5 linked regions of the Xenopus tropicalis genome follow. The protein of the gene in region 2 interacts with the protein of the main gene of each other region in a pairwise test. Links are inferred from orthologs where the notes say so. Each region holds a gene or a part of one and is shown on either strand. Other genes may lie near its edges.

Region 1 (4,286 bases), on a different chromosome or scaffold from region 2:
ATCCCTAGGCACACCAAACTGCCCTCGGTGCTATCAGGGGTGTCAAACAGATAAAAGTGGCCAGTGGACCCCTTGTTGCATTTAGCTGGCTGCTGGGCAACCTTTCCAGTGCCAAAGAAGAAGGGCAGAAAGCCTGGGCAAGTGGTGATGATAGTGGCATAGGTTACCTTAGTAACCTAACTTTATGGAGAGGAGACTCAGCTTTCCCCATGGCCAAAGAGGGACCCAAAGAGACAGGGGACCCAGTAAAAAGCAGCTGACATTCCCCATTCACAGCCCCTATGGCCCATGGGTGGTATGGGGGTGTCCAGAGATCCCAAGGTACACCCCTGGCTTCACTGTATTGGACAAGATTATTCAACTGCTTCACAGGTGCCAAAGAAGAAGGGCAGAAAGCCTGGGCAAGTGGTGATGATAGTGGCATAGGTTACCTTAGTAACCTTAGTAACTTAACTTTATGGAGAGGAGACTCAGCTTTCGCCATGGCCAAAGAGGGACCCAAAGAGACAGGGGACCCAGTAAAAAGCAGCCCACATTCCCCATTCACAGCCCCTATGGTCCATGGGTGGTATGGGGGTGTCCAGAGATCCCAAGATACACCCCTGGCTTCACTGTATTGGACAAGATTATTCAACTGCTTCACAGGCCTCATACACAGGCCAATTTCAGTTGCCGATATTTGTCCTTTAGACCTTGCCAACAAGCGGATCTTACAGTGTATGGCCCCCTTTATAATCAACTTGGTTCTCAGCTTCTTTTCTTACACAATACCCAGAAGTCATGGATACCATTACAAATCACAAGGCACTAGTACCCACCCAGGCGGCACACAATTATTTACCTACTGGGCACTTAGGGACCTAGACTGTGGGCCCCGCCAACAAGTCACCAATGGAAAAATAAGAATAATGGGCAGCACATGCATAACCAAGGCCCTGATCAACCCCAGTCACATCCCATTAGAGTAAAATCTTGCCCACAATCCACCTAAACCCTACCCACTCCCCCTGCCCTTTAATGACCAGTGAATCCTTCTTCTGGAGCCCCCTCTGCCACAGGGCCTCTGATTGCAGCACCCCTTTACCCCACTGATGGCAGCCCTTCCTATAGTAATTGGAAACACAATTGCAATTCTCTGCCCATGGCTATGATGCAGGCTACATGTTTGCTGAGATGTCATTTGGGGCAATGTAGTAAATCATAAATATCCCCATAGACACTGTATTGCCTGCTTATATAGTAACCTGGGATCCCTATGGAATGGGTTATTCTAGGTGCAACCATTAAGCAGAGATCATGTAAAAGCACTGCTAAATGCCAATTTGAGAGGGGAAAAAAGTACATAAACTTTCATAGAAATTTCTTTATTTTCCAATTACACAAATACAACTTTCCCCATTCGCGCCTTTAGCCTCGTTTGCAACACACACATGCAGTTGGAAGAACACCCCACTAGAGGGCGTTCTGAAGCGCCGCCCCCAACCTCGCACACTCATTGTTGTTTAGCACTTCCGCGTATTAGCGAGGTGCATGCTGGGAGGAGGCAGATTGAAGCCCGGGAAAACCTTATGGCTTGTTAGTTTGCGGTATGGAGGAGGCGGAGAAGAGAGAAACCATTATAGCTGAGCTGAGAGCGATAGAGAGCAGCGCTGCCAACCTGTGAGGCCCCGCTAGTGTGAATGGGAGAATGGTGACTATAGCGTTAGGCCCAGGGAGACAGTCACATGATGCAGTGTAAGGCGGCAGCGGCCCTGTGGATGTAGCGATCCGATTAGGGATATCCCTGCGCTCCTTCCTTGGTACCGCCATACCGGAAGTGTTCTGGGACGCGCATCCATTAATACCGTCCCGCATTTGTGCTTCAGGCATAGCTTCATGAGCCCGCACCTTGCCTGGCTGGCTGGGAAGGACATATAATGTGCAACGTTTGTTAAATATTTTGAGTGTATCTATCGGTGCTGCCTTCATTCTGGGGTTCCACTGTGACTTCCGGTATCACCCCAATAGGGGTGGGAGTTATAAATAAATCTCAACTTGAGGGTAGTGAGTTGGACATTGATGTAGTAAGCAGGAAAATATAAGGTACAGACTGGGTCCCACAATTCGGCCATATGCAATGGAATATTCTCCTGTTTGGTTAGAGATGCCAAGAAAGGCATAGGGAAGGGATTTTACACTAGAAGGAGCATCCCTGCTGGGCTCAGTAATGGAAATGACATGTTGTACAGTTCTGCACCTCACTTGGGTGGCGGGAATATCAAGGGGGCGGGGAATTAGAAGCACCCAATGACTGTCCTTAGAATACATTCAGACGTGTGATTGGATGATGGAATTGCATTTCTTATTATTAGAGATCTTTCTATTAATGTTGATGTGCCCTGTCTCTGACTGCACTGCTAGTCCTAACTCTTGGGAATGGTGATTCCTTCATTATTTATACATTGTCTGAATTTCTCTTTCATATTGGAAAATGCAGTCATACCTCCCAACTGTCCCGCTTTATGCGGGACAGTCCCGATTTTGCCACCCTGTCCCGCTGTCCCGGATAGCTGCAGATCTGTCCCACTTTTAAAGGTCTCTGCTCCCGTGACGCCACACGCACGTCTCCCCTTAGCGCCACAGCTTCTGCGCCGCTCACTTCAGTTTTAACATAAAGCCATTCACAGTGCAGCAGCTGCGGCACTCAAGAGACGTGCATGTGACGTCACGAGGAGGAGAAGAAGAGCCCTGGGGCACAGCCGGAGGAAGCTGGTGGTGGTAGGAGCAGGGGGTGCCACAGAAAGCAGGTTGACGCTGGGGAGGACACTGGAGGAAGGTTAGGGGCAGCTGGAGGACCCTGGGAGGCAGCTGGAGGATGCTGGGGGGAGCTGGAGGATGTTGGGGGAGCTGAAGGATATTGTGGAGGATGTTGGGGGGAGCTGGAGGATTTTGGGGGGAGCTGAAGGATTTTGGGGGGAGCTGAAGGATGTTGGGTAGGACGCTGGGAGGAGCTGAAGGATGTTGGGTGGATGCTGGGGGCAGCTGAAGGATGTTGGGGAGGATGCTGCAGTGGGGAGCAGCCCGTAGTAGGGGGACACTGCGGGAGGACCAGCAATGTTTTAGGGGGTCCCTGCTCTAGCGCCAATGCAAAACATAACACCTGGCTACCAATGTCTGGTCATGAGTTTGTCATTAAATACAGGTGCCACAGTGCATAATGAAATCCTTAGGGCCACAATATGTCATAAAATGATTGGGGCCACCGTGTCTGTCTTCTGGTGCACTTTGTGTATGTTATGCTTTTCAGGTGTGGTTTTGTAAAATGGGCCTGTTTGGGGGGGGCGTGGCCATAAAGTGGGCGTGGCCTAAAAATGTTGGCTTGCGCGCCAGACATTTCTGTCCCTCCTTCTGCTTTTCAAATGTTGGGAGGTATGAATGCAGTAGCATTGCTGGGTAGGCTGGCATGTTCCCATGATTTACTCTCTTATAAATACAGTCAGTGGCATGAATTTATATTTTGTGTTCGTTAAGTGACTCCTCGCTTTAGTGTTTTACACCATAACATTCCATTACACCTTTTTAGTGATCAAATTAAGGTGTTCTTTAAATTCTAAAATAGTTACTCATTTGCCTGTTATGGGACATCTATGTGTCTGTAGGCCTACAGTTCACCCTCTGTATACTGCCTGGCTGGGGTTTCAGGCCTGCCTGCCATTGCAAAGAGGTGGCCATTTAATTGAATTGGTATAAATGAATGTGGTTTTTGTCAGGAGAATCTACTTGGCAGTTAGCAAGGGAGGTGCTATGTGGGACATATTAATAGGCACCCTTGCAACTATTAATCATTTATTGGTGCCTATGAATTTACCTTTATAGATTCTAAGGTATGAAAATGGGTGGACACCCCTAGTGCCAACTTCTAGTGGCTCTGGTGCTGCTTCGGGATGGCAGAGATTTGCCAAAGTAAAAAATTCTTCCATGGTAGCTTCTATATTAGTCTGCATGTAATGTAAAATATGATGATGATGTTATGAATTTCGGACATGTTGGGACTCGATGTGAGGGCCGTTTATTTGGAAGAAATGGCCGTGTAGCTAATGTTAGGCTCTTCATGTAAAACTTACTGGCAGACCTTGCTAGGGTTGGCACGTAGTTGACAGGAGACAACTTGCTGACACTTGATGTGAGTGAGGACTGGTTATGTGGGATATATGTCTGTTTCAGTGGATATAATGAAATCCTAGCTACCGCAGGCTTTTATTCCAAGCAGAGGCTTTTGTTAGAACTTGAACACCAGTTAAAATGAA
Region 2 (4,252 bases):
CAAGAAGCTGACTCATAGTCTTATTAACTGAGCATGTACACTTGGTCTGGGTGTCTGTGCAGGAGTGAGGCATTATGGGAACTTTCTTTACACAGCTCAGCGTTTTTTCTTCCTGTTTGGCTTCTGATCTGAACAGGAGAAATATGGGGAGACTTAAGGGCACTATTGAGACAACTGAAGGTATGCCTGCAGCTTGGGATTAACTCTTTAAAGGAATACTGTCATGGTAAAACATGTTTATTTCAAAACACATCAGTTAATAGAGCTTCTCCAGCAGAATCCTGCATTGTAATCTGTTTTTCAAAAAAGCAAACTGATTTTTAATATTTCATTTTGAAATTTCTCATGGGCTAGCCATATTCTTCATTTCCCAGGGTGCCACAGCCATGTGACCTGCGCTCTGATAAACATCAGTCACACTTTACTGCTGAGCTGCAAGTTGGAGTGATATCACCCCCCTCCCAGCAGCCGATCAGCAGAACAATGGGAAGGGAGCAAGATAGCAGCTCCCAGTAGGTATTAGAATAGTCCGGAAAAGTCCGGCTTGGGACTCCCAGTTACATGGGAGTAGGAGAAACAATAGGTTAGCTGAAAGCAGTTCTAATGTGTAGCGCTGGCTCCTTCTGAAAGCTCAGACTCAGGCACAACGCACTGAGATGGCGCCTACACACCAATACTACAGCTAAAAATACATTTGTTGGTTCAAGAATAATATTTTAAATGGCAGAGAGAAATAAAAAGTACACCATACAAATCATGACAGTGTCCCTTTAAGAAAGACTTGAGGCGGATCCCTAGCTCGCACATAACACCACCCACCTATGGTGCTCCCAGGGGTTGCCCGAAAGGGCGGAGCCTATAACCCCCGCATTAGATAGAAAGGGAGGAGCAATGAGCCACTGACTCAACACTAGAGCGTTCCTTTGCGGCCATGTGACATCCTACGTCAGGGGAGAGAAAAAAAAGAACAAGTGGCCGCTTTTTAGCTTTCCTGACTTTATTGCGCACTAAGCGAGAGGCAAAAATGCCGCTTCTCCTGATGTTGTCGTACTGCAACTCTCACAGCCCATTCTCTGGATAGCTTTCACTTATTCGCAGAAGCATTGGCGTGAACGATTAGCGTATCCCGATAGGCTTTTGGCTGTCAGACATTCCTTGCGGTTACGGAAAGCCGCAGCATCAGCACGACTCCCTAACGTCAGCTCAAGCGTCATTAGACTTATAGCGCACACGTAAGAAGCATACTTCCACAGGCATGCTCACGCCCCCGTACTCTCAACGCGAGCGCGCACGCCCCGCCCACAGACCGCCCCGATCCCGTGTGAGCGCGCACGCCCCGCCCACAGACCGCCCCGATCCCGTGTGAGCGCGCACGCCCCGCCCCCAGCCTTTCCCCAGCTCCGTCCCTCTGTGTGAGTGCGAGTGCGCGCAGGGCGGAGGAGTGCGGCTGTGGCGCGGCCTTGGAAGTGTTGGTGTCGCAGCCGGTAAACGGGCAGGGGGAAGACACATAAGAAGCAGCCGCCATGGCGGACAACGCCGGCCTAGAGAACCACCGTATCAAAAGCTTTAAGAACAAGGGGCGAGATGTGGAGGTGAGTAACGCAGTGAGTCGATGGGAGGCCTTGCTAGGGCTCAGGCCCTGACCTCTCCCTGAAAAAGCCGGCACTGTCTTCATAAAGTGGCCGGGCCTGCTCTGTCACAGCCGGGGATGGAGTATCCGGGGCACCATAGGGGCCGGGGAGCTTGGGCTGAGAGGCTCTCGCATTGAGGCCTGCCCATGGATGTGCCGTCACTGACACCTGCCCGGGCACTGCCATGCCTCAGCCTTGTGTCAGCGGCTTGTGGGGCATTGTGGGAGATGTAGGCACTAGAAGTGTGTTCTACAGGCATTCCCATAGCCCTGCACTGTAGCCCCCAGTGGGGATCCACATTCTTCCCGGAAGTGGCATTTTCCATAGATGGATAGCACTATGGGTGGGGGGGATGTAGTGACCCACCTGGCATGGCAGCCTCTTCCCCAGCTATGAAGGTTACAGGGCTTACACTTACATCTTGGTGCCACATCTTGGTGCCACATGATCGCAGGGAGTATCCCATTTGTATAAGGTGCTATGAGCCGCTGTGCATGGTGCAGTGCTGGGAATATTTGCAGTTGGCCATCTCACTGTATGACTTAATATCATATCTGCCTGAGATCTAAATCCTATACACAGGCCCAATATAAATCTCTCACCTATGGCAGCTTATTGCAGCCAATTTGCCAGTCTGTGCTTGGCTTGCTTACTATCCATCAGACTGTATTTATATGGCTTATTTCCATGGGTTCAAACAAAGCTTAAGCATGTTGTAGTATTAGATTGCTATTACACAGTCCATTATCTGCCATTATTGTAATAAGAGAAAATGCAGGTACCAGAGCACCCACTGCTGCTCCGTGCAACAGAAATTAAGCAAACTGCACCTTTTTTTCCTGAGGTTTTATTTGCTTTCTTTACCAGCTTTTCCCATCTGTTATGCCTGTTTTCCTCTATTACTTCATGTGCAGATATATTTTCATTACCCCCTCCCATTTTATGCATTCCATATTGTTACCCTATCTCCATGTTTCTTCATTTCACACCTGCACAGCTCTTTGCAGAATATGACACATTGTAACGGCTCAGGAATTAAACAGTCACTTGTAGGCTTATGGTAGCTTCCCAAATTGACCCCACACAGCCATGGAAGGGGGCCCAGCCTAAAGACCACTATGGGGATTGATTTGGGGCGAATACCTATTGGTCTCTTAAAAACTTATCTTGGAGGTCACTTGGAGTAATATTTGGGATGAACGGTTCTTTGATGTCCTAGTGGTTCTTGGAACTATTATTGCATGGTTCATTTAGCAATGTGTTTGGAAACTTATGTTCTAAAGGAGACACTGAACCTCAAATGGGAACCTGAACTGTGGCACTTTGCTCATCACGTTCTCATTTAATCCTGTGCCTAGGCTTCTGTAGTGCCTTGTCAAGGGTCCTGCTATGCATTCATTTGTCATTTCTGTTTAGAATAATAACATATCAGGTGGTGAGCTGTGCTGCCTCAATAATGTAATTGCAATGTTTTGCCAAGATGGTTACTATAACAGACTAGTAACTACAGTTACCCACGGCTGATTATTGACGCACAAAAAATCAATGAGTCTGTAGTACAGGAATCTCCAGTGGATGGGCTTGAGAGAATATACTAAGGCTAAAACACTTAACGGCAGTGCTGTGTGAAACAACTTTGATACTAAGATATTTCTTAATTTACAAATTCACTGAGTCATGGGACAAGTCACTAAGTACAGAGGAAATCGCTAACCTTCTTTAAAGGACAAGGAAAGGCAAAGTCACTTGGGGGTGCCAAAATGTTAGGTACCCCCAAGTGACTTTAATCGCTTACCTTGTACCCCGGGCTGGTGCCCCTGTTAGGAGAAAACGGCACCAGCCCGGGGTACCAGGGGCGATGCGCATCCTCCTTCCTGCTTCGTTAAGCTGTGACTATGCGGTAGGCGCATGCGCAGTAAAGTGAAAAGCCGACTTCTCTGTTAAAGTTCCACTATTCACTCTACTGTGCATGCGTGCGAGGTGAGACAGGAAGGTGGAAGTGCTGGCAGCTACCCCGGGCTGGTGCTGTTCTATCCCAACAGGGGCACCAGTCCGGGGTAAAAGGTAAGCGATTAAAGTCACTTGGGGGTGCCTAACATTTTGGCACCCCCAAGTGACTTTGCCTTTCCATGTCCTTTAAGGTTTTTTGTTTTCTTACAGGTTATTCCTAGCACAGAAAGCTATCAAGGTCTGAACCCTAAATGACCAGCTACACCATCATTATTTATATACATCTGCCAGACCTGCCATCTTTGATATCACCAGAGTGGGCAGGGAAGGCGTGTAGTCAACATTGGCACACCTATGCTTACCTACCAAGGTTCTAGCATGATATTTTGGTCTTCTTTGGCAAGGTCCTCATTTGTAATTTTTTTTCTTCCGGTGATCAGCTTTCCTATTTCACCTCTTTCCAGCCTCCAAGTGAAAATACTGCTTTTTGTATTCACTAAAACCAGACAGAACATTATGTTTTCCAATGTCCATTTGGACTTTGCATCTTTCCAGCAGATAGCAGTTTAAATTACAATTCCGAGATTTGCCAAACGAGCAAAAATAATTATAAAAGTGAAAAAAAGGTAATTGCGATTTCTTCAAGAATACTAATGACTGCATAATGTAAA
Region 3 (2,769 bases), on a different chromosome or scaffold from region 2:
GTCAGTGACCCCCATTTGAAAGCTGGAAAAAGAGAGAAGAGGAAGGCAAATAATGAAAAAACTGTGCAAAATAAGTGATGAGGACCAATTCAAAAGTTGATTAGGATTAACCATTTTAAAACATACTAAAAGTTAACTTTTAAGGGGTAGTTCACCTTTAAATTGACTTTTAGTATGATGTAGACATTGACATTCTAAGACAATTTGCAATTGGTCTTCATTTTTAATGATTTTCAGGTACTTAGCTCTGTGTTCAGCAGCTATCTGGTTGCTAGGGTGTAATTTACCCTAGCAACCAGGCAGTTGTTTGATTAAGAGTTGGGAATTCTGTGGGTTCAGGCAAATGCCAGAGGGGCTGCTGTCAGATGCCATAGGCAGTCACTATTTATTGGGCTGCTGGGGGGCTGTTTGACTCTGTAGTTGGGGGGGATTGGGTAACGATGTTCCCTTTGCTGCCTGCCTTCAGTGTCCTGTTACTGTTGGGCTGAATCTTCTCTCCCTGTGTGTGTCCAGGTGTTTCAGACATTGCATGCCACCGGGCAGTCGTCTATGGTGCGTGATTGGGTCATGCTGTCTCTCTCCAACTTCACCCAGAGAACCCCCGTTGCCATGGCCATGTGGAGCCTTTCCTGCTTTTTTGTCAGTGCTTCCACCAGCAAGTGGATTTCTGCCATGTATCCTTTATATTTATTACGGCCTCCCCCTGCCATAGAGCGCCCATTGGTTTACATTCCCCTCGCACTCTCCCAGCTAGAAACCTGTCTGAGCCCGGCTGCTCCATAAAGGCTGTGTGCGGCCGGAGCAGGGAAACATACGCTAAAGGGGAGAGAAACTCTCTTCTGAAGTCATTTTTATTTTACACTTAACCAAACATAGAAAGGGCTGCCATCCCCTTCAAGCATATATTTTTACTGACAGTTTTGCACACTCCATTGGGCCCTATTTGCATTTAATCACAGCTTCACGTGGTTGTAGCTTTCACCAGAAAATGCAGTAACAGCGCCCCTAGTGGCTGTAAGGATGGGGCTTTTACTTGTTTGTAGTTCCATAAGGTAAGTTCTGGCATTTTCTGGACACTACCCAGGTTCTGACTGGGCAATAGTCCCAGCTGGTCATTGGCTCAACAGGGTGATCCATACAAGAGACCTGCAATTTTCAGGGTATAATTTCCCTTTTAACACTTTAACCCCCTATATTTAATAACAGGCACTAAGTTTGCCCAGGAGCAGTAACCTATAGCAACCAATCAGCAGGTGGAATTTACTGGTCACCTGTTTAAAAGCAACATCTTATTTGTTGCTATGGGTTACTGCTCCTGGGCAAACTTAGTGCCTGTTATTTCATATAGGGGGTTTAAGTGTTAAAAGGGAAATTATACCCTGAACATTGCAGGTCTCTATTAAAAAGTATATATTTTTCTACTAGTATGTGCCCATTAATAATGCCATTTGTATCCCTATGGCTCATATGAGGCACTGTGCTGAAGGGCACGCATACATGCTAAGTTGCATCAACCAATAAATGGACAGAGGTGGGATTTTGCTCCCACAACTTCCTGTTCCAGTTATTTCCTGTCCCATAAGGCAGTATTCAGGAGTCTCAGTGGTATTGTTGTACAGGAAATGCTTCATTGCTGGTTTTCCTCTTAACCCAGCGCCTCAGTCTCCCACACGTCATTAGCAGAATGGGAAAGTCGGAGCCGGTAGATGTGAATTTATTTTGCCTGGTGGCCATAGACTTCTACAAACATCAGATTGATGAAGAACTGGACCGGAGATCCTTCCAGTCAGTGTTTGAGCTGGTCGCCTCCCCCGGGAGCCCCTATTACCGGCTGCTCTTGTGTTTACAGAACGTGCATAAGATCACTGTGTTCTGATTGGGTCGGCAGTGAATCCACCCTTGAGAACGCATGCATGGGCCTGATATCCCCGGCACAGAGGCTTCTGGGTAATAAAAGACCCTCACCAAATGGAAGTGGAGCTTCTGTAGCCGGGCACTTGGCACTCATTCTGCACTGAATGTTTTTGTAAATACCTTCTGATGATAAATTTGCTTTATTAACGTGAGCGTAAATATCACACATTGGCACATTTATGGTAGGGGCGGGTCTGTAACATCGCAAAGCCACACTAAAAATAAAGGACAACTACCAACTCAGTCCAACAAGCCATTCAGTAGATTCACTCGGCATCTTTTGTGAGACCTTTGTATCCGTCTGTCGCGTCTACTAGAGATCTTGTGACGACGCCCAGTAGAGCGTTAGATCTGTCACTTCCAACTTGAATGGCATAGAGAGAGAGATCTGGTTATGGGTGTTTGTGGGTGTGGCCTAATGATGGAACATTGTAGGTTGTTTTTTTTTTTGTCCTTAGCATCAGTGGGCGGGGACATGCGCAAACCCAGCTCCGCACTAACCTTCCAATTCCTCATAATTTGAGTATTATTATACAAGGGAACGACATTTATCCTGGGACTTCTGTAGCAAAGGGACCCCCAAAAGACAAAAAGATGTAAAACAAATTTATCGTATTCCAACTAATACATATTTTCAGTATATACATTAGGGATGTCCAATCTGAATCCCTCTAGCTGTTATTAATGGAAACCCTCCGAACAAATTCATGTTTTATTGCTCCGGCGCCACCTGCTGTTCATTTCTGCAGATTGGACTCTGTCGGCTGAAATTTGAGTTATTGAAAACAGGAAAGTCCTGTGATGTTATTCAGCTTCCATCTGACCAGAGAAAGTCAGGTGACCCTTCTCTGCCAC
Region 4 (3,516 bases), on a different chromosome or scaffold from region 2:
GAGGGACCAAAATGTTGAGCAAAATAAACCTTTGGAGTGAGTGCTGTTTATGTTGTTTCTCAGCTCGGACATCCAGGTAAAATAACAGTTTATGGGGTGAACCTACACGCGATAAAACAGTATTAATATTTTTTAATACGTTCCTACAGGTCATGTTGATAGCCTTTTGTAAGTAATTGTTACTTACAGTTTCTAAACCTGACTGTTTGGCCAACCCTTTCAACCTGTCAGACTTTCTGACACTTAACAGACTACCGCAACACAAATATGGCAGCCCCCTCTTCAAGGAACATGGAGGGTAATGTAAAAGCATCATGCAAAATCATTAAGGCATGTTTAGAAAGTGCAAGTAAAGACAATGTTACATTAGATGTAAAACAAGGTTTAATTTCTGGTGTCAGTAACTCTTTAAATTGATCTTCTAAACATTTGTTTGAGCAGGTATAATTGACACAGGTTCTATCGCCTTTTAATTCTAGCCGCACATGGACACTGATCAGGTCCTGCTAGATGTAAAAAATACAATATATATCTCTCTGTGTCTGTTGCTGGAGCCACATAATTAGGTACAAATCCTGCTCCATCTGTACATTGAATACTTGTTCAAGCACACCAGAACCCCTGGGAGCCTGCAAAAGCTCATATTACATAACTTGTCATTTTAAATCTTTTTCTATAATTCAGTAACTGTTAACCTGAAACCCAGTGAGATTATGAGTCAAGTAACCTGCAGGCTGTATTGGAAACAAAACTAACAGTAATTTAGGTTGACAAGTTCAGTAAATCTGGAACTGTTGTGTATTTTGCTGCCTTGTTTAGAAGAATTCAGGCAGAAAGACTACTATATATATAAGTTTCAGTAAAATATGAAGCCATTTATGTTGGTTAAATATTTTGATTTAAACTTGTTAAGCTGGTTGCATATCTTCATGTTTCTGCACAAAAGCCATATCAAAACTAGATAATTAGAGCAAAGCTGTTTTTAAGCAAACTAAAATATATAGGTTAGAGTTGACACCCTACCAATTACACTGCATGGTTCTGGGATTGTGTTGCCCAGTTGCAGTCCCCCAAAGGTATGTTTTTTTGCTGACTCAAACTTTGAAATGATCCAATACACAAACATATTGATTATTAATAATCAGCTTTTTAAATGGAAGGCTTGGGTAACAGTTTTCTACTGTACAGCATGTGATGTTACAATGTAACACGGCAGCTACTTCTGCCTTGAAAATGCAATTTCGTTTTGGTTAAAAATTGTTACATTAGACAAAGGTTGGAACTGGTTCAAAAATGTGGATAATTGACTTTCATGGTAACTGAATCTACTGAGCATGTTTTTGTTTTTAAGGATGATACTGAGCATGTGTTTATATTTTTTAGGATGATGTTACTATTCCTGGTAGAAGGGCTCTGATAACCGGTGCAACTGGACTTCTTGGTCGAGCTGTATATAAAGAGTTTAAGGAGAACAGTTGGCATGTGCTGGGCTGTGGGTACAGTCGTGCTCGGCCCAGATTTGAATACCTCAACCTATTAGATGCAGCAGCAGTGAAAGCACTCATCCAAGACTTTAAGGTAAGCTAAATGATAGATATTATATTAGTTACTGCCCTGCTCTTCTCACAGGCAATGTCCCTTGACCAGTGTGGTTTCTCTGAAATGGTGTTGATATTCATGTTCAGCAGTGCAGGTATGGGATCAGTTACCTGAAACCTATTATCCAGAAAGCTCAGAATTAAAGGATGGTCAACTCTCACAGATTTGATTTTAAGTGAATAATTCTAGTTTTCTTTTAAAGCGATTACCCCTCTTTCTGTTAAAATAAAACAGTACCTTGTAGTTGATGGTAATTAAGCAGCATGAATCCATATTGAAGGCAGTACAATCCGATTGGGTTTATTTATTCTTTAAATTATTTTCTATCAGGCTTAAGATATGTGATCCAACTTACAGAAAGATCCCTTTATGGAAAACTTAAGGTCCCAAGCATTCCAGATAGTAGATGGCATTCTGCATCTTAGTCTTCATTAAAAGACGCTATGTGGGTAGCTCAAGTGACCCCAGCCTTTGAAAATTTAGGGTGATTATGCTGAAAAATCGACATTGGGGTAATTGGTACAGAACTTGATAAGATAACCTCAGACATAATGATTGATTGGGCATTGCTTTATTTATTTATTTATGTTTTTTAAATTGTCCAGTTGTATTGACCATAAAAGAAATGTAAAGTCAAAAGATAAACCAAAGTAAGCTCTGAATGCTTTTCTGAACACTTTTGCACATCACATTCATTTTCTGCTTTGAGAAGTTCAAAGGATTATGGCAGTGTTATACTGGTATAAGGGACCTGTTTGGTTTGCCTGTGGTCTCGGTGGACTGCCGAGCTGTCAGTATAAGGATTAAAGGACATGGTGACCCCACACACAAAAACTGAATCAGTGAACAGCCTCTTTGAAATCTTTCAATACCTGCCATACTGGTTGTCCAGAGGTTAATAGTAAGGCTGCAGCATCTCCTTAATCACTTAGATTTCCTTCGCCTCCTGTAACCCACTCAGCCGCCTCCCTCAGGAATTTGCTTAGACTTCTGGCTTGTGGGCATGCTCAGTTATTTTAAGCTCAGATTACTAAACATGCCCCCCAGTCTAGCAGCCAGTGAAGAGATGGCATTGCTGGTTCCCATAGAAACTCAGCTCTAGCTGTCTGCTTCAATTTTTAATTCTCCTAACCTCCTCTCCTGAGATCAGCTCAAACAAAGCAGAACTTTTATCAAAGACAGTTCTGCCTGTGCGAGCCAGTATTCTTGATGAAATGTATGCTGAATAAGAGTCTGTGTGTGTGTGTGTGTATGCTGTTTGCAGATTTAAATGTATCTGATTATGTATCAGAGGAAAAATGGCCCCCGGGTGAAAGCTGCTATTTGCTTTAGGAAAATGTGACGGTGCTGGCAAACAGAGGGGATACATGCAGTACAAATGATGCCATTTGGGTGGGGGAGACGTGCCCAACTGATATACATTGTAGGCAAATGTAGGCTTTACATGTCCTTTAATTAAATTTGTGTTCTGAGTCTCCACCTGGACACCACTCTGCACACACTGGAGGGAAGCAGTTTTTCCATGCATTTGTCAGTACTGTAAATCCCCAGGGAATAAGGATGGAATATGCAAACTGGTGTCTCATCATTTCTACCTGCTAACATTTTTAACATCTTAAATGAGAAACAGTACATTGCAAAAAAACTGAGCATATACAGTGGTGTGAAAAACTATTTGCCCCCTTCCTGATTTCTTATTCTTTTGCATGTTTGTCACACAAAATGTTTCTGATCATCAAACACATTTAACTATTAGTCAAAGATAACACAAGTAAACACAAAATGCAGTTTTTAAATGAGGGTTTTTATTATTTAGGGAGAAAAAAAATCCAAACCTACATGGCCCTGTGTGAAAAAGTAATTGCCCCCTGAACCTAATAACTGGTTGGGCCACCCTTAGCAGCAATAACTGCAATC
Region 5 (4,122 bases), on a different chromosome or scaffold from region 2:
AAGGGGTAATTTGGGCTGAACCCCGCGCCAACTAATGGTACAGCTTTCCCTTTAGCCCAACCACCCCCGAGTCAGGAGAGTTCACAGATATTTTAGATTAAATTAAATCCAATGTTTTTCCATCAGCGACTGATTTACTTCTACATTTTTCCGGCTTTCAAGTGACCCGACAGCCGAAAACTATTGCCCTGAAGTTTACAATTGTATTAATATTGTAACTTTATACTTTTTTCTTTAATCCGGGCCCTCTCCTCTTCATATTCCAGTCTTTCATTTAAACCACCGCCTGGTTGCTAGGGTAAACAAGACCCTAGCAACAAGGTAGCAGCTGAAATGCCAAACTGGAGAGCTACTTAACGACAAAAAATAAAAACCAATAAAAAATTGGCTCAGATTAATGTCTACGTCATATTAACTCAGTTAATTCAAAGGTAAACAAGCCCTTTAATGGAATCCGCTAGCCGCCTCAGAGTAACATATGGAACGTACCACCCACAGGGGGCGAGAGGAATGATCCATTTTCAGAGGCATCTGCAGGCGATAGTCTTTGGCTCCGTACTCATCCTGCTTTGTGCCGGCTTCGTCCACTTGCTTTCCCGCGGCAGAAGGAACGGCTTCCTGGTATTCGCCCCCGGGCACCTCCTCTTCCTCTTCATCCTCTTCCTCATAGTGACGCCGCTTGAACTTCTTTTTGTCTCCTGGGAGGGAAATCAGAGTAGGTCAGTGGCGCCTATTGGGGGTATTATCCTGCTGCGCCTATTGGGGGTATAACCCTGAGGCGCCTATTGGGGGTATAACCCTGAGGTACCTATTGGGGGGTATAACCCTGAGGCACCTATTGGGGGGTATAACCCTGAGGCACCTATTGGGGGTATAACCCTGAGGCACCTATTGGGGGTATAACCCTGAGGTACCTATTGGGGGGTATAACCCTGAGGCGCCTATTGGGGGTATAACCCTGAGGTACCTATTGGGGGTATAACCCTGAGGTACCTATTGGGGGGTATAACCCTGAGGTACCTATTGGGGGGTATAACCCTGAGGCGCCTATTGGGGGTATAACCCTGAGGTACCTATTGGGGGTATAACCCTGAGGCACCTATTGGGGGTATAACCCTGAGGTACCTATTGGGGGTATAACCCTGAGGCGCCTATTGGGGGTATAACCCTGAGGTACCTATTGGGGGTATAACCCTGAGGCACCTATTGGGGGTATAACCCTGAGGTACCTATTGGGGGGTATAACCCTGAGGCGCCTATTGGGGGTATAACCCTGAGGTACCTATTGGGGGTATAACCCTGAGGCACCTATTGGGGGGTATAACCCTGAGGCACCTATTGGGGGTATAACCCTGAGGCACCTATTGGGGGTATAACCCTGAGGTACCTATTGGGGGGTATAACCCTGAGGCGCCTATTGGGGGTATAACCCTGAGGTACCTATTGGGGGTATAACCCTGAGGTACCTATTGGGGGGTATAACCCTGAGGCGCCTATTGGGGGTATAACCCTGAGGCACCTATTGGGGGTATAACCCTGAGGCACCTATTGGGGGTATAACCCTGAGGCACCTATTGGGGGTATAACCCTGAGGGGCCCTATTGGGGGGTATAACCCTGAGGTCACCTATTGGGGGTATAACCCTGAGGCACCTATTGGGGGTATAACCCTGAGGCACCTATTGGGGGTATAACCCTGAGGCACCTATTGGGGGTATAACCCTGAGGCACCTATTGGGGGTATAACCCTGAGGCACCTATTGGGGGTATAACCCTGAGGCACCTATTGGGGGTATAACCCTGAGGCACCTATTGGGGGGTATAACCCTGAGGCACCTATTGGGGGTATAACCCTGAGGCACCTATTGGGGGGTATAACCCTGAGGCACCTATTGGGGGTATAACCCTGAGGCCAATTGGGGGTATAACCCTGAGGCACCTATTGGGGGTATAACCCTGAGGCACCTATTGGGGGTATAACCCCTGAGGCGCCTATTGGGGGTATAACCCTGAGGCAGCCTATTGGGGGGTATAACCCTGAGGTACCTATTGGGGGTATAACCCTGAGGCACCTATTGGGGGTATAACCCTGAGGCACCTATTGGGGTATAACCCTGAGGCCTATTGGGGTATAACCCTGAGGTACTATTGGGGGTATAACCCTGAGGCACCTATTGGGGGTATAACCCTGAGGTACCTATTGGGGGTATAACCCTGAGGCACCTATTGGGGGTATAACCCTGAGGTACCTATTGGGGGTATAACCCTGAGGCACCTATTGGGGGTATAACCCTGAGGCACCTATTGGGGTATAACCCTGAGGCACCTATTGGGGGGTAATAACCCTGAGGTACCTATTGGGGGTATAACCCTGAGGCACCTATTGGGGGGTATAACCCTGAGGCACCTATTGGGGGGTATAACCCTGAGGCACCTATTGGGGGGTATAACCCTGAGGCACCTATTGGGGGTATAACCCTGAGGCACCTATTGGGGGTATAACCCTGAGGCACCTATTGGGGGTATAACCCTGAGGTACCTATTGGGGGTATAACCCTGAGGCACCTATTGGGGGTATAACCCAAGGCAAATGCACGGAATTACGTGAAACTCCCAGAAGGCCCCTGCGTTATTAACCCCCTCCCTCCCCTGAGTTTAGCGCTACCACACGGCACAAAGCCCCACAGACTATGGGACACTGTCCCTACCTCTGTCCGCCTTATCCCTCTTGCCCATCGCAGGTTCCCTGGCAGCAACACCTTCCGGCTGCTTCTTCTGCTGCTTCTTCCCCACTTCCGGTGCGCACTACGGAAACCGGCAAGAGACATTTGCTACTTGTTGCTCTGGAAAATCTCAATGCTGCCACCTGGCGGCCCCTTTGTGTAAAGCACCCACTATAGAAATCGCTAGGATCGTTCTCGCTGGGGAAAAAACCCACAGAGATGATGGGCAGGGGGGAGAAAAGGGCGGGGGAGTCATGACAGAATCTCAATTGGAGGGATTGTTCACCTTTGAGTTAACGTTTAGTATAACATAGAGAGTAATATCCTGAGACAATTTGCAATTGGTCTTCATTTTTTTGTATTATTCCTGGTTTTGTAAATATTTCCCTTTTTGTGCAGCAGCTCTCCAGTTTCAGCAGTTATCTGGTTGCTAGGGTCTAAATTACCCGAGCGACCAGGAATTGGTTCGAATGAGAGACTGATATGTTTGTAGGAGAGGGACCTAAACAGAAAGAAAAGTAATAACAATAACAATAACAATAAAACTGGAGCCTCACAGAGCAATAGGGTTTGGCTGCCGGGGTCAGTGACCCCCATTTGACAATTAAAGGGGAAAAGAGTCAGAAGAAAGCGGCAGATATTAAAAACTATAACAAATAAATAATGAAGACCAATTGAAAAGTTTCTTAGAATAGGCCATTCTATAACATACTAAAGGTTCACTGAAAGGTGTGGGAATAATAGACATGGAAATAGCTCCTGCCAGGGCCGGACAGGGGCTGCTGGGACACCGGGAAAATACCCTGTGGGCCCCTGGACATGGTGGGCCCCCGGACATGGTGGGCCCCATCGGCCCAGACCCGACCCTGTTGCAGCTTCCCCTGGCCGTTGGTGTCCCCCCCTGATGGGTTTCACATACGCAAGCTCGGGGGAGGACGTCGGGCGGGGGGCCCTGTGAGGGGATAGGGGTGTGCGGTGGGGGCCCCAGCAGGGGACGCAGCCAGAAGAGGCCCCTTGTGGGGTGCGGGCCCCCCGGGGGGTAGCCTCGGTGGGCCCTGCACCCCCCAGTCCAACCCTGGCTCCTGCTACTACTACTATGACTATAATGTATGTCCCCTAATTACAAATACATGGGGGACAGAGGCTACGGAAGAGCCCAGAACACACTGCAGCGAATGGACTAACAAAATCAGAAACTGGCTCGCTGCTGGGTCATCACAGTTCTAGGACTCATGAACCTACCTCTATACCAGGGATCCCCAACCTTTCTTACTCGGGAACCACAGTCAAAGTAAAAAGACTTGGAGAGCAACACAAGCACCATAAATGTTCATGGAGGAGCCAAATAAGGGCTGTGATTGGCTATTAGGGGCCTCTATGCACCCTATCAGCTTACAGGG

Evidence for each region.
Region 1: the proteins of kpna3 (region 2) and tssc4 interact in binary tests that used the Homo sapiens proteins (3 or more experiments, as listed by UniProt). The two-hybrid records come from large-scale screens. The link is inferred for Xenopus tropicalis from reciprocal best matches to the Homo sapiens genes KPNA3 and TSSC4.
Region 3: the proteins of kpna3 (region 2) and htt interact in binary tests that used the Homo sapiens proteins (3 or more experiments, as listed by UniProt). The link is inferred for Xenopus tropicalis from reciprocal best matches to the Homo sapiens genes KPNA3 and HTT.
Region 4: the proteins of kpna3 (region 2) and mat2b interact in binary tests that used the Homo sapiens proteins (3 or more experiments, as listed by UniProt). The two-hybrid records come from large-scale screens. The link is inferred for Xenopus tropicalis from reciprocal best matches to the Homo sapiens genes KPNA3 and MAT2B.
Region 5: the proteins of kpna3 (region 2) and ercc3 interact in binary tests that used the Homo sapiens proteins (3 or more experiments, as listed by UniProt). The link is inferred for Xenopus tropicalis from reciprocal best matches to the Homo sapiens genes KPNA3 and ERCC3.

Annotation. Positions count from the first base shown.
Region 1 is NC_030680.2:22,340,687-22,344,972, forward strand, and holds the start of tssc4 (protein TSSC4), read left to right. Parts: upstream 1-1,486; 5' UTR 1,487-1,659; exon of another isoform or gene 1,660-1,734; intron 1,735-1,757; exon of another isoform or gene 1,758-2,082; intron 2,083-4,286. UniProt on the Homo sapiens protein: Protein associated with the U5 snRNP, during its maturation and its post-splicing recycling and which is required for spliceosomal tri-snRNP complex assembly in the nucleus.
Region 2 is NC_030678.2:149,390,340-149,394,591, reverse strand, and holds the start of kpna3 (importin subunit alpha-4), read left to right. Parts: upstream 1-1,444; 5' UTR 1,445-1,523; coding exon 1,524-1,592; intron 1,593-4,252. UniProt on the Homo sapiens protein: Functions in nuclear protein import as an adapter protein for nuclear receptor KPNB1. Binds specifically and directly to substrates containing either a simple or bipartite NLS motif.
Region 3 is NC_030677.2:22,815,892-22,818,660, forward strand, and holds part of htt (huntingtin), read left to right. Parts: intron 1-513; coding exon 514-674; intron 675-1,662; coding exon 1,663-1,876; 3' UTR 1,877-2,769.
Region 4 is NC_030679.2:35,760,528-35,764,043, reverse strand, and holds part of mat2b (methionine adenosyltransferase 2 subunit beta), read left to right. Parts: intron 1-1,383; coding exon 1,384-1,578; intron 1,579-3,516.
Region 5 is NC_030685.2:86,618,833-86,622,954, forward strand, and holds the start of ercc3 (general transcription and DNA repair factor IIH helicase subunit XPB), read right to left. Parts: upstream 2,812-4,122; 5' UTR 2,736-2,811; coding exon 2,708-2,735; intron 699-2,707; coding exon 490-698; intron 1-489. UniProt on the Homo sapiens protein: ATP-dependent 3'-5' DNA helicase/translocase. Binds dsDNA rather than ssDNA, unzipping it in a translocase rather than classical helicase activity. Component of the general transcription and DNA repair factor IIH (TFIIH) core complex.